3 linked regions of the Astyanax mexicanus genome follow. The main gene of each other region encodes a partner of the protein of the gene in region 2 in a complex. Links are inferred from orthologs where the notes say so. Each region holds a gene or a part of one and is shown on either strand. Other genes may lie near its edges.

Region 1 (8,192 bases), on a different chromosome or scaffold from region 2:
GGAGCAGAGCGGAAAGCGGCGCGTTTCCACGCCCATAACCACGCCTCCACCGCGCTACCGCTTACCGCGGGCAAAGTTCAACATGGTTCAACTTTGACCTCGCGGCAAGCGGTACCTCGGCAGAAAACGCATGACGTGAACTCACGCGACTAGAGAGAAACTGTAGTCCAAACAACAATAAACGTGCGCGAGAGACTAATAATAGCGATTAGTGAATCCCCTCAGCTGTACATCACTTCCCTACACTCATATAGAGATAACAGGAGGAAGAGAAGAATCAGAGCTTTGTTCTGAGGCTGAGAAACATATACAGATCCACAGAGGCTGTAGAGACTCAAAACTACAAAACACCGCTCACAGAGGTGATGGGTTTTAGAAAACTCCGCCTATTATCAGCAGGAGACGCTTGGCGTCAGCAGCAGCGCAACGCACCCGCAACTGACCAGCGTAGAGCAGAGCGGCAGCACAGCGGAATGCCGCGCGGCATACCGCGTTCAGTGTGCAAGCACCTTTACACCACCCTCAGCTCCGCCCACAGCACCACCCTCAGCTCCGCCCACAGCACCACCCTCATCTCCGCCTACAACACCGCCCTCAGCCCCGCCCACAACCCCAGCCCCACCCAGAACACCACCCTCAGCCCCACCCAGAACATCACCCTCAGCCCCGCCCACAACACCACCCTCATCTGCTCCATCTCTTCCTGAGAGAAAGGATCTCCTGCAGAAACAGCAGCACATCCATCAGCCCCGACCACAGCCCCGCCCTCAGCACCACCCACAACACCACCCTCAGCTCTGAGACTCGAAACACAGTCAGGAATTTCTAATTAATCTTCAGTAAACTTTACATATCTGATGATGTCACCGGCAGTGGGAGGAGCTAAAGTCTAAGTGCTGGATTTACCTTCCTGTGTTAAATATCTGCTGAGCTCCTCCGGATCCAGGTGTCCTTTCTTCTGCTGATCCAGAACCTGAAACACATTTATATTATTTATTATTATTTAATTTAACAACCAGATTCGCTCTATAAACACCTTTAGCACACAGTCCTGATCTCCCTCCTGATCTCCTGCTCTACAGGATTCAGACTGTGTGCTTTTGCACCGCTGAAGTTAAATTAATATCTGAACAAGATGAACGTAAGAGTTTCTGACCTCAAACGCCTGAAGCAGAAGATCCTCAGGAACGGGACGTAACCTGACAGAACAAATCAGAACCTCCAATCAGAACCTCCGATCAGAACCTCCAATCAGAACCTCCGATCAGAACCTCCAATCAGAACCTCCGATCAGAACCTCCAATCAGAACCTCCAATCAGAACCTCCAATCAGAACTTCCGATGAGAACCTCCGATCAGAACCTCCGATCAGAACCTCCGATCAGAACTTCCGATGAGAACCTCCGATCAGAATTTCTGATCAGAACCTCCAATCAGAACTGGAGTTTGAAATAATTCAGATTAATCAGTTCAGTGTAAACGCAGTGATCAAGAGTTACTTGTTCTCCATCAGGATTCGGGACATGGTCGGCAGGAACTTCTCAAAACGGATGAAGCCCGCTGGCTCCTCCTCCTCGATCTGTAACAACATTTCCAGCACTGCTCATTAAACCAGTCTATAAACGAGTATATAAACCAGTTTATAAACCTCTATATAACCCAGTCTATAACATATGAGCCAGTCTATAACATATAAATTAGCATATAAACCAGTCTATAAATCAGTATATAAACCAGTATAGAAATCAATCTAAACCACAGTATACAAACCAGTCTATAACATATAAACAAGTCTAAAAACCAGTATATAAACCAGTCTATAACCAAGTAAATAAATCAGTATACAAACCAGTCTATAAACCTCTATATAACCCAGTCTATAAACATATATATAACCCAGTCTATAAACCAGTATATAAACCTGTCTGTAACCTATAAACCAGTATATAACTTAGTATATAAACCAGTATAAAAGACACAGCCGCAGATTTAATATAATATGTCTGAAATATGTAAATGAGCTCTGACCTCAGCGATGACGTCATGCAGTTCAGCTTCGGTGGGAAATCGACCGAGAGAACGAATAATCGTCCCGATCTCCCTAAAAACAAACAAACAAACAAATCGGATCAGATTCATTACAGAACCCGATCAGAACTCAGAACTCTACATCACTATAATCTGCAGAATCAGAACCAACCTGACGTCCACAGTTTGATTCTGTTCATGATCAAAAACATCAAACGCGCTCCGGATCTTCTTCTGGACCTCCGACACACCTGAACACAATCAGAACCTCCTGATCAGAACCTTCAGAACCTCCTGAACTCTTAACTGGGACTAATGAGAGGGAGTCCATCTCTCCTGTACAGGACTTCCTGTACCGACTGTCGGTCAATTTATAATTAAAGTTTTAACAGCGTCTCCATCAGACCATCATCTCCGACCTTCTGCATCCATATTCAACCCGACGAGTCCTAAAAATCAGCAGCTCTTAGAGACGCTTAAACTCCTGAACTGAAGTCAGAAGATTACAGAGCTTTAACTGTGGAATAATCTGCATCTCCCTCCATCACTGTTTTAATACTAATCTAAAATCGTACCTGTACTCTCAGGACTTTCAGTGTGTTCAGTTCTGAGTGTCTGGGGTTAATCTGAATCTTGTTTCCTGATGCTACTTTTTTATTTATCTTATATCTTATTTGTTGTTTAGTTTTATATATTTAATTGTTCGTACTTCTGTATTGTACAGTACTTTGGTTGGTATTTGTGGTTTTTAAATTAGAAATACATTTGACTTGACTATTATATATTATATTTTATATATTTTCAAATGTACTAGCATTTTAGCAACTGTATGTGATACAGCTAGGTGGCAGCAAACACACGCACTTTAGAAATTTGGATAGAGTGCCAATTATACAGTATATTACATTTTTACAATTAAATATACAGGAGAATCGACACTGTATTGTAAATATAAAGGAAGTGCGTGTGTTTGCTGCCACCTAGCTGTATCATACACCGTTGCTGAAATGCTAGTAAATTTGTAAATATATAAAATATAATATATAATAGAGTTATAATACAGGATTTGTATAATATTAATGGGTGTGAATTTTCCCCATGATTCAAAGTGAACACCCCCGTTATTTAGATGTGTAAATCCTATAGATTTGGAGCTGTTGGTGTTTTTTTTTCTTATCTGGGAACATTAATAGGTGATTTTATGCACTAAAAGTGATTTAGAGGTGAATAAATGAGTGTGTACAGATGTAGAGAGGGTATAGAATTAGATGCATTTTATTCTAAATGGTAAAGTGCTTTCAGTTTTTTTATATTAATACTAAAAGTGCGTTGGGTAACTCTTTACTGTTACAGAGCAGTGTTATAGTGTTCCAGTGTTGCCAGATTATTGATCTTGTCGCTGGATTTAGAGAATGATTTATTTATTTTTATTTTTAAACGTAAGTAAATGAATCAGAGGAACGTGGATGTGTTTAAACAGCGCTGTTTCTCCTACTTTCTCTGCATCAGGTCACTGAAATAAAAACGCGTTAATATCTGGCAACCCAGCAGAGCCGCGCTGACAGTGACGCCGCGGTTCGAGATTAATCGGTAATTGGATTAATTGATTAATCGGTTTAAAGAGTTAATAAAGAGAACCCGATGTTTACCTGCAAGCGCGCGCTCCTCCGCCATTCCACCGCGGATCTGGTTGCTTAGATACGGACGCGCTGCTGGTAGCTGGGTTGCCAGATAGTGCAACCCCCCCAAACTCCGCCCACTAAACTACAATCAGCTCTAAATTCTGCACAACACAGAAAAGACTGAGTTTTATATAAAATCTGATTATAAATTAGATTATAGATTAAAGTAATAATGCAACTGTTCTAATATAAATCTTATATTTAAATTAAGCTTAATGAAATATGAAATGTACAGCCAAAACATTAAGACCACCTCCCCCCAATGCAGCTCAGATTACAGAACTGTGCAGGAGAAATCTCCAGATCTCCAGAAGATCAACACTGGAGCTTCATTACATTACTGTACTTAATTACATTACAGTACTTTATTACATTACTGTACTTAATTACATTACAGTACTTTATTACATGACATTACTTCATCACTGTTAAATATTCCTGAGCTGCTGCTGTTCTGGGATCAGTGGTGGGATCAGATGTTTCAGGATGTGGAAGCTAAAGTTCTTTAAGCTCCACATTTCAGTAAAAGTACAGAAGTATTTAACATTATTTGTATTTCAATACTGGAGTAGTTTACAGTAAAATGTACTGAAGTACTGAGAGTAAAGTACAGTACTGTGTTCTGTATTTATTACAGAAATCGATGTTTATTAAAGACGTTAATTAAAAACATTAAAAAATAAAACCCGGACACTGCAGACTATAAATATATACATTTATCACAAAATTACCATTTTCATATCCAAATAAAATATAAATAAAGGTATGTGAGGGTCCGCAGGTCTGGTGCATTGTGGGTAGTGTAGGCGTTTATTCCTCCAGCAGGATCTCCACCTCCTCCATCGGCGCTCGGAGCCGGAGCTCCTTCTCCACCAGCAGATCCAAAAACTCCTGAACCCGATCCGGAAACAACCGCACCGCGTCCATATACACACACTGCACAAACGCACACACATACACACACATTATATATATATACATATATATAAATAACACACACACACACACACACCATATATACACATATATATAAATAAAACACACACACAATACATATATATATATATATATATATATATATATATATATATATATATATATATATATATATACATATAAATAACACACACACACACACACACAATACATATATATAAATAACACATACAAACACACACCATATAAATATACACACACTATACGTATATATAGAGAGGGACTCACTTTAGCCCAGGGGACGTTCTGTAGAGCTTTATAGAAGATTCCTCTTCCTCTCTCTGTGTCCCCGTTACACACCTGCACACACCCACCATCATCACCATCATCACCATCATCACCATTATCACCATAATCACCATAATCACCATCACCACCATCACCATAATCACCATCGCCATCATCGCCATTATCGCCATAATCACCATTATCACTATCATCACTATCATCACTATCATCACCATAATCACCATCATTACCATCATTACCATCATTACCATCATCCCATTATCACCATCATCACCATCATCACTATCATCACCATAATCACCATTATTAGCATTATCACCATCATCACCATCATCACCATAATCACCATAATCACCATTATTAGCATTATCACCATCATCACCATTATCCCATTATCGCCATCATCGCCATCATCACCATTATCCCATTATCACCATCATCGCCATCATCACCATTATCCCATTATCACCATCATCACCATCATCACCATTATCCCATTATCACCATAATCACCATAATCACCATAATCACCATCATCCCATTATCACCATAATCACCATCATCCCATTATCACCATCATCACCATCATCACCATAATCACCATTATTAGCATTATCACCATCATCACCATCATCACCATTATCCCATTATCACCATCATCGCCATCATCACCATTATCCCATTATCACCATCATCGCCATTATCCCATTATCACCATAATCACCATCATCCCATTATCACCATAATCACCATAATCACCATAATCACCATCATCCCATTATCACCATCATCACCATCATCACCATAATCACCATTATTAGCATTATCACCATCATCACCATCATCACCATTATCCCATTATCACCATAATCACCATCATCCCATTATCACTATAATCACCATAATCACCATCATCCCATTATCACCATCATCACCATCATCACCATCATCCCATTATCACCATAATCACCATTATTAGCATTATCACCATAATCACCATTATTAGCATTATCACCATCATCACCATCATCCCATTATCACCACAATCACCACAATCACCATCATCCCATTATCACCATAATCACCATAATCACCATAATCACCATCATCCCATTATCACCATAATCACCATCACCACCATCACCATAATCACCATCGCCATCATCGCCATTATCGCCATAATCACTATCATCACTATCATCACCATAATCACCATCATTACCATTATCCCCATAATCACCATCATCCCATTATCACCATCATCACCATCATCACCATCATCCCATTATCACCATCATCCCATTATCACCATAATCACCATAATCAACATCACCATCACCACCATCATCACCATAGCCATCATCGCCATTATCACCATTATCACCATCATCACTATCATCACTATCATCACCATAATCACCATAATCACCATCGCCATTATCACTATCATCACTATCATCACCATAATCACCATCATTACCATTATCCCCATAATCGCCATAATCACCATCATCCCATTATCACCATCATCACCATCATCACCATCATCACTATCATCCCATTATCACCATAATCACCATAATCACCATCATCACCATTATTACCATCATCACCATCATCACCATCATCACCATAATCACCATAATCACCATTCATCACCATTATCACCATCATCACCATAATCACCAACATCTTCATCCCCGTCCCTGAAACCCATACACTTTAGGGTTAACAGACAAAAGAGGGAAAGATGTTTTACCATAAAGTTCATGTACATCCTCCACAGCAGGGGGCAGTGGGCTCCCTCCTCCGTCGCCACGGCAACCTCAAACAGTGAGCGGATACGGTTACTAAGGCCCGTCTCCGGGATCACTGGCAGAGCATCGGCTGGAAGACCCAACCTGAGAGAGAGACGGGAGGGGTTAGTGTGTATAGTGTGTGTGTGTGTGTGTAGAGTGTGTGTGTGTGTGTGTGTGTGTGTACAGTGTGTAGTGTGTGTGTGTTTGTGTAGTTCTGTTCTGACCTGATGACGGAGTCGAGGTGTTGTTTCCTCCGCTGCTCTGCGGTGATGGAGAACAGGTGTGGTATGATGGTCTGGTTGCCCCTGGCGACGGTGTGGAAGAACCTGCGGGCGCGGCCGGCGCTATGGTAACGGCTCTCGGTCAGCAGGTAGAAGTGCCACAGGGTGGCGCTGCAGGGCAGGAGGCGCAGGGCGTCGGTCAGCGCCATCCGGAGGCGGGACAGGGGGAAGGCGCTGGTGCTGGAGTGCAGCCGCAGCAGTGCCACATGCAGGACGCACACGGCCTCGCGCTCTCTGAGTGACGGGTCGGGTTCTGTGCCAGTGGCAGTGGCAGTGGCAGTGCCGGGTGTCAGCCGCTCTCTGGCTTCAGTGAAGACCGCATCAGCAGCGTCAATCCCCACCGTCAGGTACTGGAACAGTCCGAAACAGCCAATCAGAGCACTCCGTGGTGTCCCGCCCTCTGCAGCTGCTGATAGGGCGTTCTCGTACGCTTTCCGGGCCTTTAGAACCGACACCGGGCTCACCTGCCCTGAGAACCCGCTGTACCCGCCCCCCTCCGCCAGCCTGCTCAGAACATAGACAGCCCGAGAGCCAGTGGGCGGAGCCACGGAGGCTTTAGCTCCGCCCATGCACGCCTGCTCCACCTCTAACTGGGCGTACAAAAGGCAGAGTTCGCAGAGGGTGTGGTCCTGCAGTCCTGAAGCCCCTCCCACTGCGAGTGCCGTGTCGAACACTCTCCGCCCCTCCTCCACATTACCCACAATCCACTGCAGGTGAGCGTACTCCCGCCACAGGCTGAGGCTGCTGCGGTTCTCCGGCAGCTTCAGTAACCGTTTCCCCACCCGCTTCCCGCGCCGCACCGCAACCCGCAACCGCTTACTGCTGCTGCTGTACACACACCGCAACACCTGCAATACACACACACACACACACACTTATTATACACACATTACACACACCGCTTCCCTCGCCGCAACCCGCAACCGCTTACTGCTGCTGCTGTACACGCACCGCAATTATCGTTTACTACAGTTCAAATAATCTCACAGGTCACATGTTTCACGCTTGCGCTGTACTGGATAAACTGTTACTCAGTACTGAATTACCTGAGTACAGTATTTAATGTATATCAGTAATTGACTGACCTTCAGCTTCTCGTACTGCAGCCAGCAGAGCGACAGGACAGTTCTGTCCGGCGCCCTGACCAGTGGCAGGAC
Region 2 (8,192 bases):
CAGCTGAATAATTCAAATAAATTGTTTCATTAAGTTTTGGTAACATATTGTACCTCAATCTTGCGAGTAACCACGTTGAGGGCTGTGGGGTCTAAATTTGAGGCAGCAAGAACCTCATTGAGCTGAGCCTCTTTCTTCTCCAGGGAGTCTGTAAGAGCAGCTAGCTTCCTCTCCAGGAGAAGGTTCTTAAAGCCGCTCTTCTGCTGCACCTCCTGGATGGCCTTGGTGAACTTCTGGTACAGTTCATCACGCTCCTGCTGCACCTGAGGAGCAGTAAAGCAAAGAGAGAGGACAATTTGAGTAACAGGTCTAATGGGTTAAAGTCTTTAGAAAAATGGATCATATTTATTAAAACAAAAAAAACTATATATAATCCTTTGTGCAGGTGATTTACATTAAATAACAGAAAGTCAGCACAACATAAACAAATAAACTGAGAACACTGAAATTGTCCATTAGTGTACAGTATGTACAATAGTGTGTATGTGCATGAACAGTATATCTCACCTTACTGAACCTTTGCTCCAATACTTCATGTTCCCATTTCAGGTCCTTTATTTCTTTCTCTGCCACCTTGATTCGAGCTCTGGCTCCCTAAAGGAGGAACAAAATAAATTAATTTAGCACTTGCTGTAAAGAATAACCAGAAATATATATATATATATATATATATATTGTATAAATATTACTATAAATGAGGTTTGCAGTTATTTTATTTATTGTTGATTATTTAGTTATTGTTGTATCTGTTATTTATATTATAATTAAGTAATTATCAATATATTACTTTCTTTTTTTATATAATTTTATTTCAAATTTTTCCCATTTTCTCCCCAATTTACACGGCCAATTATCCAACCCACTCATTAGGACTCCCTCTATCACTAGTGATGCCCCAACGCACCAGGACATGCTTCCTCCGATACATGTCAAGACAGCCCCCGCTTCTTTTCGAGCTGCTGCTGATGCAGCATTGCCGAGCAGCCAGCGAGCTTGGAGGAAAGCGCGCTGTACATCAGCTCCGGTACATCAGCTCACAGACGCCCTGTGCTGCAGACATCACCCTAGGAGTGATGTGGGGAGAGAGCGCCATCTACCCACCCAGAGGGAGCAGGGCCAATTTTGCTCCCTCTGACGCCGGCAGCTTGATGGCAAAGCTGCATGAGCGGGGGTTCGAACCTGCGATCTCCGCTCATAGTGGCAGCGCTTTAGACCGCTGGACCACTCGGCGCCCCTAGTTTCATAATTAATTAATACATAACACATCTAATATATAAATATTTATGATATATTGCCTAGCCCTATGATCTACACACACAATAATGTATCAGTACATATTAGTAAAAAGCCCAGGTACAAATTTATCATGAGTCATGAGGAATGAACGCACAGTGCATGTGTGTTACAGAATAAGCCTGAAAGAGACTTGTGCACACCGCTAGTGAGTTTTTGTCTTTATTGTAATTGGCCAGCTGTTTCCGGAGTTCTGTGGCTTCCTCAGTGGCCTTCTGCAGAGGCTCGGTCAGCTGCTTGTTCTCCCGCAGCACCTTTGCCATCTCTTTCTCCAACCTCTTTTCTTTATTCTTCATTTCTCTCTCATTCTCCTGCACACAGAGAGGAGAATTCATTAAGAATTATAGTGGTTTAATCAATAGCAAACACTAGGTTATATCAGACACAGGCATACCTTGAGTGTACTGATGAGGGCTAGGTTGTTGGAAGTGATATCATTGTAATAGGTCTTAATGTCACTGAAAGCTTTCTCATGGTTTTGTATCAGTGTGTTAATGTGGCAGTTCTTCCTTTCTTCTATTTCCTCGATTTCAGTCTTGCGTCTGAGATCCTGCTCCTGGCGCAGAGCCAGCATTTTCTTTTCATATTTAGCCTCTATTTCTGCAAGAGAAAACAAAATAGCATAATTTACACTACTGGTCAAAAGTATGAGAACAGTTAGACCCTAAATGTTTTCAGTAGTCCAAGTGATCAAACCTCTAAAACTTAAGTGTCTTTTTTTAGTCATAATGAGTAATGAGCGATCTGAATGTAGAGTGTTGTGTAAATACTGTGGTAGTGAAACACTGTTGTTTGTTCCAACACTGTTTTTATACAGAGAAAGGGACTGTAAATAGTAAATTGTTTGCATTAAATTTGCATCAGGGTTAATTTACTTCCAATGCAACAGATCTGCTCTAAGTTGTTGACAGGTTTATTCACTTGATTAAAAAATCCTTTAATTAGTAAATGATTTGACCAGTAGTACATTATGTAAAAGAGAGATATAGCCTGTAACATTACAATATTTACTCTAATATAAAAGCAAATAAAAAAGGGTGAGATACATCACCTCGTACTTGTCGTTCAAAATCATTCCTGATCTTGGTAATTTCCTCATCATGTTTCTGGGAAAAGAAGGTATGATTAGTAACTGCATAGCATTAACTAAAAAAGAGTCCACATCTTATCAGCCTAAAGTCTATCAACACTGACTGTCATGTTAGCTGTAAGCTGAGCATTCACACACCAGTTTAAGACTCTTGATCAGATTTTCACTGGAAAGCTCCTGTTCCTTGATATCCACTTTTAGATTCCGAATGCCCTTCCGCAGATCATTCTCCAGGTCTGCATGTTCCTTCTGCAGCAGTTTGGTGGTGACCACTCCCTCTGTCTTGAGCTCTGCGATGCTGTTCTGCTGTTCATACAGCAAGTGTTTCACCTTCTGTTTGTACACCTGAATAACAGAACGAACACCGTTAGATCATTCATGATAGATCTAAACTTTTTCAGTGTTTCATGTGCCAGAGCTTCTCATTATCATTCTTGATACCTTGATCTCAACTTGATGGCGTTCCTCAGCCTCTTCCATTTCCCGATCCCTGTTCCTGAGATCTGCTTTCTTTTCCTCCAGCTGTCTTTTGGTGATCTCCCAGAAGGTGTGGATCTTATCTCGTTCCAGTTGGAAGTAGTTGCGCTCTTCCCTCTCCCTGTCCAGCTCTTCACGCAAGCGGACAATGTGGTCCTCCAACTAATGAAGAATGAAGATAATGACGTAGTTTTAGTTTTAATACTTGGCATCAGTGTGCTTCCTGCAAAGCCACATATATTCATTCTAAAAACAGGGTGTCTGGTAGGTCATAGAACATGAACAACCATAGTGCTAATAATGATGTTGATACAAAAAACTATTGTGAATGTAACGATATCAGAACAGCAAACACAGTCTTTATCAGCTCATTCAGATCTCACTAAACCAAAGAAACACAGAAATAGACCAGGAGAGAACTGGTGAATTAAGGAGAGTGCAAACAGTCACCAGTTTCGCTAACTCTGGTAAAAAGACTTTGCCTAAAATGCACATTTTAAAAGTACTTTTAGCATGCTCAGTGCAAATTCACATCCTCACCAGAACCTATGGACTGTCACTTTAAAGTCAATATACAATATATGGACAACTGCTTATTTTATTATTATAAATAGAGTTCATAGAGCTTTTGTTGGAGTAAATGTCTCGACTGTCCAGGGAAGGCTTTATTATAGATTTTGGATCATTGCTGTTGGGATTTTATTGCATTTAGCCACAATCGTGTTAGTGAGAACAGGATATTGGATGATCACCACCCAGAAGTGTCATATTACACAGTATACATGATTTGTTACCTTACTTGAGTAGAAATGTTGGTTATCTATACTTTACTGGAGTAATTATTTTAAGATGACTTGTAACTTCTACTCCTTCATTTTCACATAATTATCTGTACTTTCTACTCATCACAATTTCACACATTTATCTGTTTTTCTACTCCTCACATTTTCACACTACTATCTGTACTTTCTACTCCTCACATTTTCACACTACTATCTGTACTTTCTACTCCTCACATTTTCACACTACTATCTGTACTTTCTACTCCTTTCATTTAAAAAAATGTGCATTTAAATGCATTTTCCCCTAACATTACTCTTACTTAGATACTTTAAGCAGTTTTGAAACAAGTATTTTTACACTTTTACTTGATTAAAAATAAGTATTTTTAAACAGAAGTATTTTTAAACCCTTGTATCTATACTTATACTTGAATATTAAATGTGAATACTTTTCACACCTTTGTACAGTAACCCACCTCACCCCCATCTCAACAACTCACCACCCTAGAAGTGCTAAATGGAGAACCATCATTCCTAAAAACTCAGTTCCATTGCTCCACAGGGGGGGCAACATGCGTTTAGAATTTCTGTCTCATTGTTGTTGGAACCTTAAAAACAAACTATAAAGCTTTAGTAGCCTTTGAATCTGCTGGAAACCTGTTAGATAATTATCACTGAAGACACAAACAGTAATAATGACATTATAACTGGCTAAAATATTAGTTTACCTGCTCCTTCGACATTTCCTCTGTGGAAAGTCCATCCACCACTGTAGGGCTCTTCTTGCCCTTCGCAGTCTTCCCTCCTTTCTTTTTTGGAGGCTGAAATATGAACATTTGGAGAGGATAATGTTACAAATACCCATTCTCACTGCATTACCGCACATTAATGATGTACTGTTAGTCTATACAGCTTTAACTAACTCTCTGGTTAGATAGCTCCTCCACTAGCTATACCGATATATAACCTATATAACGTTAGCTAACTAACAAATTAACGCTGTTAAATCACACTTACCATGCTGTATGTGTGTAAAGTAGCTAGTACTGGTCAGTCAGATGAGGGCAGTGTGTATTCGGGTGTTTCTGCAGAGAAACTGTACAGATATTCTCGTGATTTAGCTTTAGATAGTTTAGCTACAGCTCTCCTGTGCTGATGGTCTGCAAACAACAAACCAGATCCATGGAAACCAGTTCAGATCTCGCGAGAATAGAAATGAGTCGCTGCAGCGTGGAGCTGCCCTGCAGACTCTCCACACTCACTCAGTAAATATTCCCAAGCAGAAAGTGTTTGTTGTTTTTTTAAGCAATGCGAGGAATCTTTAATCATTTATTCTTATTTATACTACGAAAAAAGGACGATATATATTATGAACATGTAATTATTATGTTTATTCTTTTTGCTTTAATAATAATAATTTAATATTTTTCTTCTGTAATAATTTTACCCCTATCCTTCTTCACTGTTATGTTAGTGTTATTTTTACTTACTCAGATTTTACATTTGGGGTTATGTTCTTTTTTTTGTTGTTCTAATTAATGATCTCTTACTTTGACTGCTTTTATTTAGTGAATTGTTTTATTTTAGCTTGTCCAACTTTTAAATAATTTTAATTCTTTAAAAATGAAATCTAATTAAATATTAATTAGGTTAGTTGATTTTTTAATGCTTTTACATTTTTATATATATATATATATATAAAATATAAATAAAATCAAGTTTTAATTAGGTTAAACTAACATAATAAAATACAAAACAAAACAATACAAAATATACATATATATTCAACAAAACAAAAGTTATAAAGATTCTTTAAAGCTCTCTTCTACTAAATGCAATTATTTTTTCTTAATGAATATAATTATAGTGATTTGACTTTATATTTACTTTGTAATAGATACCATTATTCCGAACTTTTATTTATTCAGACCTAAATAATTATTATTACTTACTGGAAATTTTTGGACAAATTAAAAATAGAAAAAAACATAAATCCTTCGATATTTTAAATTAATTTGAATCCCACTTTTTTCTGTTTATTTTGTTTGTCTATTTATGTTTTTGTTTTGATGTGCTTGAGATGTTGGTTGTAAAAATACTTAAAAAAAAGTTTTCTGGTTGTATTAACATGTGGGACTTTTATTTGTTTTCCGGTAGTGACAGTGACAGCGTTTCCGTACTGCTGTCCAATCAGGAGGCGTGTTGTTGGGTCGCTGGTGGTGCTGGTTATGGTGGGGTCTCAGTTGGGCGCAGCTGCTGCAGATCCGCTGGTTTTAGGGAGTTTGTGAAGATGTCGAGCCGCGCGCTGCGCAGACTGAAGGGGAAGCAGCGCGGCCAGGAGGACCTGGACCTCGCGGAGCTGCGGGTGGAGGAGGAGGAGGAGGCGGCGCGGGAGGGAGAGGAGTTAGAGGAGCAGGAGGAGGTTCTGCAGCCGGTCAGAGGAGCAGGCAGGAAAACCAAGAGGAGCAAATCTCAGAAGAACATTAGCAACATTTATGAACTGGTCAGAACTTTAATAACACTGAACAGCTAAAGACTGATACAGACTGACTGCTGATAACCAGAGTTCTTACTAATACAATAAAACTCAAATTCAGGATCTCTGTAATGCTAAACCTTCTTATTCCAGATATAAACAAACTTATGAAACTCCACACTGACCAGCCATACTCCCAGAATCTCCTATTATCATCATCAATATAACCAGTAATACTGTTACTGTTATTATTAGTACTATTTGTTTACTTTAATCACTTCCTGGCATCTACAATTACATAACATGTACTTTTTAAGTCCAATTAAAGATATAGCTATAGAATTATAAACATTACTATACACAAATAAGAGACACGGTTGGTCCAGAAGATGAATATGATTGTATAGTAAATTCTTTCTTTTTTTAAACTCAGATGTCTGAGACAATCAAAAATACACCATTATGTCAAAATACACCATCAGTATTCTATTCTATTAAAAAATCCAGGTACACATATTAATTAATTAAAATATATTAGAACTCTGGATTTTATGGACATATTGTACAAGTCCTACTGGAAAATAAAATTCACACCTCCATAAAAGTTGTCAGCAGAGGGAAGCATGAAGTGCTGTAAGATTTTGTGGAAAAACAAAACTGCACTGACTTTAGACTTGATATAACACACAGTGGATCAACACCAGCAGATGACATGTCTCTCCAAACCATCACTGATTGTGGAAATGTCACACTAGACCTCAAGCAGTTTGGACTGTGTGTGTCTCCACTCTTCCAGCAGACTCTGATCCCTTGATTTCCAAATGAAATGTACAATTTACTGATGATCAGTGATGGTTTGAAAAGACATGTCATCTGCTGGTGTTGGTCAACTGTGTTATATCAAGTTTAAAGTCAGGGCAGTGTTTTCCCAGAAAATCTTACAGCACTTCATGCTTCCCTCTGCTGACAACTTTAATGGAGATGAGGATTTCATTTTCCAGTAGGACTTGGCACACTGTCCACACTTCCAAAAGTACCAATTGGTCTTATATAATATTCTGATTTTGACACTGATTTTTGGGTTTTCATTGGCTGTAAGCCATAATCATCAACAAAAAGAAATAAACACTTAATAGATCACCCTGTGTGTAATACATCTATATGATATATCAGTTTCACATTTTGAATTGAATTACTGAAATAAAGTAACTTTTCACTGATATTCTAATTTTTTGAGATGCACTAGTATTTTTGTAACTGAAGCTGTAAAAGGTAATTGTATATATGAGCAAATGAGAATCAATGGCATGATATGATTCAGATTGTATAAGGCATATGCTATCCTGGCAGTATATATTTATAGATCATTAGATCAGATATTTTTGATAGTAAATATTTCATAATTGATTTTCAAAGTTAGCACCTCTATTAGGATAACTGCATTACAGATATCTTGATTTTCTATCTTTGCTAATAAACATTGAGTGACTGCCTCTATCAGTTTATATAATTTTCTTAGCAGGGTGGATGTTTATTTGTTTCTGTGCTGTTACAGATTGGTGACCCTGACAATGATACAGACAAAAGTCCCACTGATGAGGAGAACGTGTTGACAGGGAGAAGCCATGGAGTACAAAAGCAAGAGTGCCAACCTGATATGGAGACCACAAAGGTTTAAAACTACATTACCATTAATTAAAAACGGACAAATAACTGTTAAATTCTTCTCTAAAGAGACTCAAGTCAACCCTTTAACATGCGTGGCAAAGTTAAGGCTTGTGTTAATTGCATTTTTTTGTTCTGACCTGAGATGCTGGTGCTCTGTATGACATCTAGTGGCAAATTTGATCACAAACAGAACCATTTAAACATAGCATTCCTATTCTTATCTTTTCTTTTTATTTTGTAGTCTGACTCTAACGAGAAAGTAAAAAAGAAAAAGAAGAAGAAGAAAAAAAAGACTGCTCCTGGGGATGTGCAGGTATGACATGCACTGTATATATTACATATCATATAAACTTGTGTAAAACAGAACATTTTAACACTGGAGGTTTTGCTTGTGTTTCTGTTCTTC
Region 3 (8,192 bases), about 2.6 Mb from region 2:
ACATACTCTTTAGGGGCCAGACCTACATTTCTGGAAAAGCTCGTAAAAAATTATGTATGGGCTACATGGTGAAAATATATCAAAATATGTTGAACCTATACTTTATAAAACATATATAACACAATATAAAAACTCCACTGATGTTACTTTTAATAACTTTAAAAACAGTTTTTTTTTTGCATGCACTCAATATAATTTTTGTTTGTTAAACTGTTACATTCTACAGAATCAGGGTCTTTGTAAATTACTGATAATGAAATATTTCTACTGAACTTATGAAACTCTTATTTACTGTTTTCATTTAAAAAAAAAACTAAAATACTGTCATTATTTTAGGGCCCTCCCCTACTGATGATGTTCATACTAAGATATTCCTATAAAAGCATTCAGTCCAACACCCACCCCCAACTGACACTGAGAGTGATACTGATACTGAATTACATCAGTGTTGCCAAACTGCTCGTGTTTAATCCTGTTCTATTTTACTCATTTTTTTTACAACAAGCCCTTGTACTTAGGGTTACTGCGCCAAAATATAAGTGTTAAATTATAATAATTGTTAAAGTAAAGTATAATGAATCCATATTGCATTACGGTATCATGATTTGGTACCATGTTACAGTATCGTGATTTAATATTGCATTACAGTAAAGTATGATTATTCGATAATACATTACAATATCGTGAGCTGGTATCATGTTACAGTATCCTGAGCTGGTATTGTGTTAAATTAAAGTATGATGATTTGATATTGCATTACAGTATCATGATCTGGTAAATGTTACAGTAAAGTATGATGATTTGACATTGAGGTACAGTATTGTGATCTGGTATCATCGAATCATCACATTTCACTGTAACGTGATATTGGAACACGATACTCTAACATTATATCAGATCATGGTACTGTAACATGGTACCAGCTCATGATACTGTAATGCAATATCGAATCATCATACTTTACTGTAAAGCTATATTGGATCATGATACTGTAACATGATACCAGATCACGAAACTGTAACATGATGTTGCATAATAACACTAATGCAATATCTTGTTACAGTATCGTGATCTGGTATCATATTACAGTACCATGATCCAATATCGCGTTGCACTAAAGTATGATGATTTGATAGCATTGCACTAAAGTCTGATGATTTTATATTGCGTTAAAGTGATGTATGATGATTTGATAGTGTTGCCCTTAAGTATGATGATTTGACAGTGTTACACTAAAGTCTGATGATTTGATATTGCATTACAGTATCGTGATCTGGTATCATGTTACAGTAAAGTAAGATTATTTGATATTGTGTTACTGTATTGTGATCCGAATTGGTGTTGCAGTATTGTGATCAGACATTGCATTGTAGTACAGTTTTTGTGATCTGAAATAATGTTACTGTAACATGATATTGCATCATAATAGCTTGTTACCGTAAAGTATGATTACAGTATTGTGATGACTACAGTACAGGAACGTGATCTGAAATTGCGATTCAATATTGTGAACAGATACTGTGTTACAGTATTGTGATCCCATATCGTATTACAGTAATGTATGATTACAGTATCGTGAACAGATATCGTGTTACAGTATCGCGATATAGAGCACTGCGTCCGTATCGCTGAGCCCCAGCCTGTAACTACTCCCTCCCCGGGTAGAGTTAGCAGCTAAGTTAGATTAGCCAACTAGCTAACTATCCCTGTACAGAGTCCCACTCAGGATAATCAGACTGATCTGATCTGCTGTAGATCAGACTGCAGCTGTTAATCAGATCAGATCAGATCAGATGATTAAATAATCAGACTGTAAATTAGTTAACCCGCAGCTCCAGCTGTAACTCTGTAACCCCACTAACTGTGTTCCGCTGACCCGCTCCGGCAGCGGCTCTCTCTCCCCGGGCTGCGGGGCGGCCGGCGGTCCGGCTGCGGGAGAAGCCTCACCTTCACGGAGGGGAAGAGCTGGACAGATCCGACGCTTCTCCGAACATTTTAAACTCTTAAACCCGCCTCACTCCGTGCTCTCGGGTCTGCGCTGCTGCTGCTGCTGCTGCCATCTTGTCCTGGAGATCCGGAGCGGAGACGTCGCGGTGTCCTCCTCCTCCTCTTCCCGCATCCTAAACTCCGCTACAGCGCTCTAACCCTGCCAGCAGCTCCTCAGCCGCTCCCCCGCACTGCCCGACGCGCTCTCACTGATACCGGGTACGGCCGCGCGGGCGCTGGAGCCCATCTCTCAGACGGGAGCCTCTGTGCTCTGTCCTCCCCGTTGCGCTGCTTCGCTCTCGGCTGAGGGAGGGGGAGCGCCGCGCTTATCATACAGCCAGACTCAAACAAACCAACCGAGAGACATCGAGCGAGGCCCCGCCGGGCCGTGTCCCAACAGCAGCGCGAGATGCCTAACTAGGGTGCCTAGCTAGGATGTACAGGGTCCTGCCGCCACGTGGCTGTTTAGAGAACAACAAACAGACAGACAGACAGGCATATAACTAAAATAAACAGACAGAGAGACCTACAGATATATAGACAGACAAATATACAAATAGATAGTCAGATATACAGACACATTAACAGAAAGACAGGCAGATAACCAACAGATAAACAAACATAGATAGATTGACGGACAGACAGATTATTAGACAGATAGACAGACAGATAGACAGACAGACAGACAGACTGACTGACAGATATATAGGCAGACAAATATACAGACACATTGATTAACATACAGACAGACAGACAGACAGACAGACAGACAGACAGACAGACAGATAGATAGATAGATAGATAGATAGACATTATAATCTAACATAAGAAGGCAGTGCAATAATGAATATACAGTGTGGAACAGCAGCAGGTATCAGCAGTTAATGAGAATTCTGAATAAACACATACACATATATGTATTTAGTAGTGTGGCTAGTGTCCAGAAGTGCAGATGTACAAATGTAAAGTGTATCTTTGTATTGTTATAGCTTTATATATAGTCTCTGTGTGTCAGGTGTGTGCAGGTGCATCTGGTAGATCACTGATTAGTAGAGTTTAATGGATCGATGATCAGCTCTGTGCTCGTTTAGTTCGGTCTGTTCTTCTGTGCTTCCATCCTCATACCCTGCTGCCCTCTGCTGCTACAGCAGATACATGCAGCAGTTCTGACTTAATCACACTCAGGTACTGTCAGTATACCATACTACTGAGAGTTAACAGCACAGTGCAAAAAAAAGACATATTACTACTGTACTACTATGAAATACGTAAATGTAAAATACAGAATAACAATAATGACTTTTATCTAGATGTGACCTCTCAGGTCATTTGAGAGGTGCACGATGCCACTCTTCAGAGAAGATGAGAAAATAGGAGAAAAACTTGCAATTAACTCCTTACCTCTTCTCATAATTAGATTCACATGTGTATGTAGGTTAAAGGTCAATAAGCTTACCAAACGTGTTTAAATAATTAGTGCTAAATGTATTCAAATAAAATGACAAGAGTGTTGAACGAAAAGAAAATGGTGTTGAAAGAATGAACAACTCACGATTTTCAGATTTGATACATGCAGATCCTTAAATCCAAATCTATTTAATTCAAAACTCAGAAATACAAATACATTCAGTAGATATATTTGTAGAAGGTATGTATCAGAATTAGGAATCTGAATTTTTACATTTAAAAATGTATGGAACTACTTTTTTAAGTTACTTTTAAATGTATTTTTAAGCAGCACATTTGGCCACCTCATAAATTCAGAATATAACCATTTTACTCTATTCACCCACATTTACTAGTGGTGAATAAATAGTGTCTGACTACCTATTGTTTAATTTTAGTCAGTGGAATAGAGTATTTTGTTAGGAAAAGAAGGAAAAGGGAAAGAAACCATACCTGTATGCATCTCCAGCTTTAGCTCACCAACCAATCAGCTCACAGTAGCCGTGATGCTTGCGTCTCTACAGCATAAACATACAGGTAAGTTTATTTTGCTTGTATCTAAATATTTGATTCTAGTTTCTAATATTAAATGAATATCTCGGACAAGTAGCCCCTATTTGGCCACCTCTTACGTTCAGAATATAAAAATTCTGATTAAAATTTATGAATTATGTCACTAAATAAGTGTATTAAAATATAAAAATGCAAGTTGAAATACATGTCATCCCGGGCTCCCTCTAGCAGTTTACAGTAATTTAATGTAATTCAATTTTTACAGTGATTTCTTTGTGTTGAAATTAATCACAATTTTTATATTTATAAATAACAAAATAATTTATTATACTTAAAATTAAATGAATATCCCGGGAAAGTAAGTAAGTAAATAATTTGTAAGTTAGTTAGTGAACTCCCATTCATTTTGGTCTCCTCCAGCGGTGAGCGCACTAAGTGCGCAGGCTCACCACGTTGCGCGTGCCGATACGTTAGTTGCGTACAGTGTGTCGCGTTACCAGGGGTAACGTGCGTAAAGCGCGCAGATTGCAGAGTTCGGTGTTGTCAGTGGCTGAACGGGAGAATTATGTCGTGCCGGGTTTCGGGAGTGGACCGGCTCCGGGTCTGCGCGGTTCTGGAGCGCTGTGCGGACCAGCTGGACATTCTGGGACACATCATGCCGAAGAACCGGAGGAGCCGCCCGGGGGCTGAGGAGGTCTGTAACCGGCTGTTGGAGGAGCAGAGTGGGGCTTAACACAGCTCTGTTCTAGTATAAATATAACTAAACATAACCTATAACCATAATCTATAACTTTAAAACATAATTACTATAACATATAACTATAGCCTATATAACTATAACCTATAAACCTATAACTGTAACCAATAACTGTAACCTATAACTATAACATATAACTATACCCTATAACTGTAAACTATAACCTATAACTATAACCTATAACTGTAACCTTTTACTATAAACTATAACCATGACCTATAACCTTTAACCATAACCAATAACTTTAACCTATAACTATAAACTATAACCTTTAACTATAAACTATAAGCACGACCTATAACTTTTAACCATAACCAATAACTTTAACCTATAACTATAAACTATAACCATGACCTATACCTATGACCTATAACTTTATTCTATAACTTTAACCTTAAACTATAACTATAACATATAAACATACCCTATAACTGTAAGCTATAACCTATAACTGTAACCTATAACTGTAACATTTAACTATAACCTTTAACCATAACCAATAACTTTAACCTATAACTATAACCTATAACCATGACCAATAAACTATAACCTATAACTTTATCCTAAAACTTTATCCTATAACTTTAACCTTAAACTATAACTATAACCTATAACTATAACCTATAACCATGACCTATAAACTATAATCTATAACTATAAACTGTAACCATGACCAATAAACTATAGACTATAACCTATAGACTATAACCTATAACTTTATCCTTAACCTATAACTATAACCTATAACAAATAACTGTACCCTATAACTGTCAACTATAACCTATAACTATAACCTATAACTGTAACCTGTAATTTATAACTATAACCTTTAACTATAAATAAATATAACCTATAACAATAACTGTAGAACATTCTAACTCATCCTGTGCTGTACTGTTGAGCAGGCAGAGGCTGCACATATCAGCGTGATCATTAAACAGCACCAGGCCGCTGAGAGTCACCTGAAGACTGTGCGTAAGAGTCGGGTAAATGATTCTGAACTCTCTGAGGCAGTGGAAGAGCTTCATCTGTCCCAAAACCAGCTCAGACGCACGCTGGAGGAAAGCTCATCCTCCCACAACAATCTGGCCAAAGTGGAGAGAGACAGGTACAGACACTTACATCTGATTCTTCTTCCTCCATAATAATGTAGACATTGTTTATTTGGGTGGTGAATTGGGGTTTGACACATAGTATTGTGCGTAATAATATCACTAAAATGTAAAAAAATAAATAAAAATGTGATAGTTTTAGATGTGATCAGGATACTCCTTTTTTTTTTTTTTTTGCAATTTGTAAAAAATGGAAAATTCACATTGTTCTTATTTTCCATTAAATATGTACTACATACAGATTATATCTGGCCAGTATCTTTTATTTTACTTTAGTCCTAGATATTTAGAGTGCTAATGATTATTTGTATCATGACATGTTGCATCATTGACTTCCATAATGTGCCATATCATATTGTATGCAATAAAAATATGGTGGTTGTGTGTTAATAGTGTGTGTTTCTCTGGTATAAGTGGATTAGACACAGCAGTGCTGCTGGAGTTTTTAAACATTTTAGCATCACTGGTAGAGAGAGAACATTCTATCAACCAAGAACATCCAAAAAAGTGTCTTGTGGGTATCATCCTGGCAGCGTCCTGTGGGCAGCGTCCTGTGGGCAGCATCCTGTAGGCAACATCCTGTGGGCAGCGTATCAGTGTCCTGTGAAGTAAAGGACCAGTGAATGATGAACACAAACTGTGCATTTTATATCTACAAACTGTGTCAGTTAGGGAGGAGTGTCTAATAGAGTGAAGTACAGTGAATACATTGTTTAAGAACTCCAGCAGCACTGCTAAAGTGTCTGATCCACTCGTACCAGCAACACAACAAATACTACTAACACACCAGCAACATGCCAGTGTCACTGCAGTGCTGAGAATAATAACCCACCACCAAAATAATACTGTTCTCACCACTAAATAGCAACAAAAACTAATAAAGTATGCAGAAAAACAGATACAGGACTACAGTCTATACTTATTATAGAACTACAAAGTATTCCTGTTTGCTCAGTGTAGCTGATAAGATGTGTAGAAACATGGAGATGTATATAATAATGAACCTAATAATGACCCACTCTGTTTGCAGGCAGTTTGTAGCCAAGGTGATCTCAGACCTGCTGGCTGAAATTCAAGAGAGTGGCACTTTTCACAGCCTGGTTCAGGCAACGGAGGAAGAGAGGAAGAAGAGCGATGGTGAAGATCACCTGCATGACACTGTCATAAGGTCTGAACATGAACGCTGAACTATCAATACTGTGGTGGACAGTATTTAATATTTGAAGCACGGCGACTCGAAACTGATACATCAGCTCACAGATGCCTTGTGCTGATCGACATCACCCTAGGAGTGATGAGGGGGAAAGAGCGCCATCTACCCACCCAGAGAGAGCAAGGCCAATTGTGCAAAAGTGCTTTCTCAGGGCTCTAGTAGTTGATGGCAAGCTGCATGAACAGGATTCAAACCGGCAATCTCCTCCTGATCATAGTGGCAGCGCTTAGCCCGCTGGACCACTCAGAGCCCCCTCAGTGGTGGACAGTAACAAAGCAAATGTAATTCGGTTAACTTTGTACTTAACCCCAGACCTGAATTATGTTCCAGTTATGGAAAAATATATGAATGCTGTTTGCTGTCTGTAATGCACACAAAATAAGACGCTACTATCCTCATATAAGCTCTATATATATAAAAATGATCAAATTAACTAAATTTCTTATTCATACACATTTATTTTTTTGATGCAAATTGAATGTCTACTCGACGTATACAGTATATATCTATATATAGCCTAAGGAGTGCTGCTAAGATCTATAAACACAGAATGTCCTCGTGTTCTGCAGGGAGGAGCTCAGGATTAAAGCCTTGCGAAAGCAGCTGGTTGATGTTCAGGAGGAGAAAACATCAGAACTTGAGGTGAGTACACACTGTTTTTCTTTTGTTTGTTTGTTTTTGTACACTCCCCAAATTTCAGCAAATATTTGATTAAATATTAATATGGATCTAACGCAAGAGTAGTAAAAGAAACCATAGGTCAGTTTGGTTCTTCTTTATTTTATAAAAAAAAAAAAAATAAAATGCACTTTATTTAAACTTAAACTTGTTCATTACGATTCTTATCAATAACATAAGTTTTACATTAGTAAAGAAAGAAGAACTTTTTTTTTTCACAAAGAAGAATACGCAGATACATGCATATCTGTTAGAAAGGCTTAAAGATTTCTTTTTTTTACAGCTTAAAAAATACGAAAAACGTTAATTATGGGAGAAAGTTTGGCCACACTTGGTTAGATGATTAATTCAAGTTTCCAGATTAATCATACTCAATTATGCATTAATGTTAACAGCACCACTTAACCTCCCTGTTATGTTACAGGTCGAATTGACCCGTTTTAAAGTTTGAAGATCTAGGAAAAATAGTTAAAAGTATTTTTTTTTT

The links.
Region 1: gas8 (region 2) and efcab2 share a complex: the UniProt entries of both Homo sapiens proteins name them as parts of the nexin-dynein regulatory complex. The link is inferred for Astyanax mexicanus from reciprocal best matches to the Homo sapiens genes DRC4 and DRC8.
Region 3: gas8 (region 2) and iqcg share a complex: the UniProt entries of both Homo sapiens proteins name them as parts of the nexin-dynein regulatory complex. The link is inferred for Astyanax mexicanus from reciprocal best matches to the Homo sapiens genes DRC4 and DRC9.

What each region holds. Positions count from the first base shown.
Region 1 is NC_064421.1:67,688-75,879, reverse strand, and holds the start of efcab2 (dynein regulatory complex protein 8), read right to left. Parts: upstream 3,780-8,192; 5' UTR 3,703-3,779; coding exon 3,678-3,702; intron 2,280-3,677; coding exon 2,201-2,279; intron 2,102-2,200; coding exon 2,029-2,101; intron 1,580-2,028; coding exon 1,500-1,579; intron 1,200-1,499; coding exon 1,157-1,199; intron 974-1,156; coding exon 907-973; intron 1-906. UniProt on the Homo sapiens protein: Component of the nexin-dynein regulatory complex (N-DRC), a key regulator of ciliary/flagellar motility which maintains the alignment and integrity of the distal axoneme and regulates microtubule sliding in motile axonemes.
Region 2 is NC_064416.1:13,275,483-13,283,674, reverse strand, and holds the start of gas8 (dynein regulatory complex subunit 4), read right to left. Parts: upstream 4,852-8,192; 5' UTR 4,663-4,851; coding exon 4,660-4,662; intron 4,464-4,659; coding exon 4,371-4,463; intron 3,023-4,370; coding exon 2,825-3,022; intron 2,729-2,824; coding exon 2,522-2,728; intron 2,400-2,521; coding exon 2,345-2,399; intron 1,894-2,344; coding exon 1,688-1,893; intron 1,605-1,687; coding exon 1,437-1,604; intron 595-1,436; coding exon 508-594; intron 264-507; coding exon 54-263; intron 1-53. Other genes in the region: tcf25 (transcription factor 25), read left to right, coding at 5,933-6,145, 7,674-7,790, 8,028-8,099. UniProt on the Homo sapiens protein: Component of the nexin-dynein regulatory complex (N-DRC), a key regulator of ciliary/flagellar motility which maintains the alignment and integrity of the distal axoneme and regulates microtubule sliding in motile axonemes.
Region 3 is NC_064416.1:10,717,404-10,725,595, reverse strand, and holds the start of iqcg (dynein regulatory complex protein 9), read left to right. Parts: upstream 1-4,414; 5' UTR 4,415-4,510; coding exon 4,511-4,639; intron 4,640-5,607; coding exon 5,608-5,810; intron 5,811-6,844; coding exon 6,845-6,982; intron 6,983-7,596; coding exon 7,597-7,669; intron 7,670-8,192. UniProt on the Homo sapiens protein: Component of the nexin-dynein regulatory complex (N-DRC), a key regulator of ciliary/flagellar motility which maintains the alignment and integrity of the distal axoneme and regulates microtubule sliding in motile axonemes.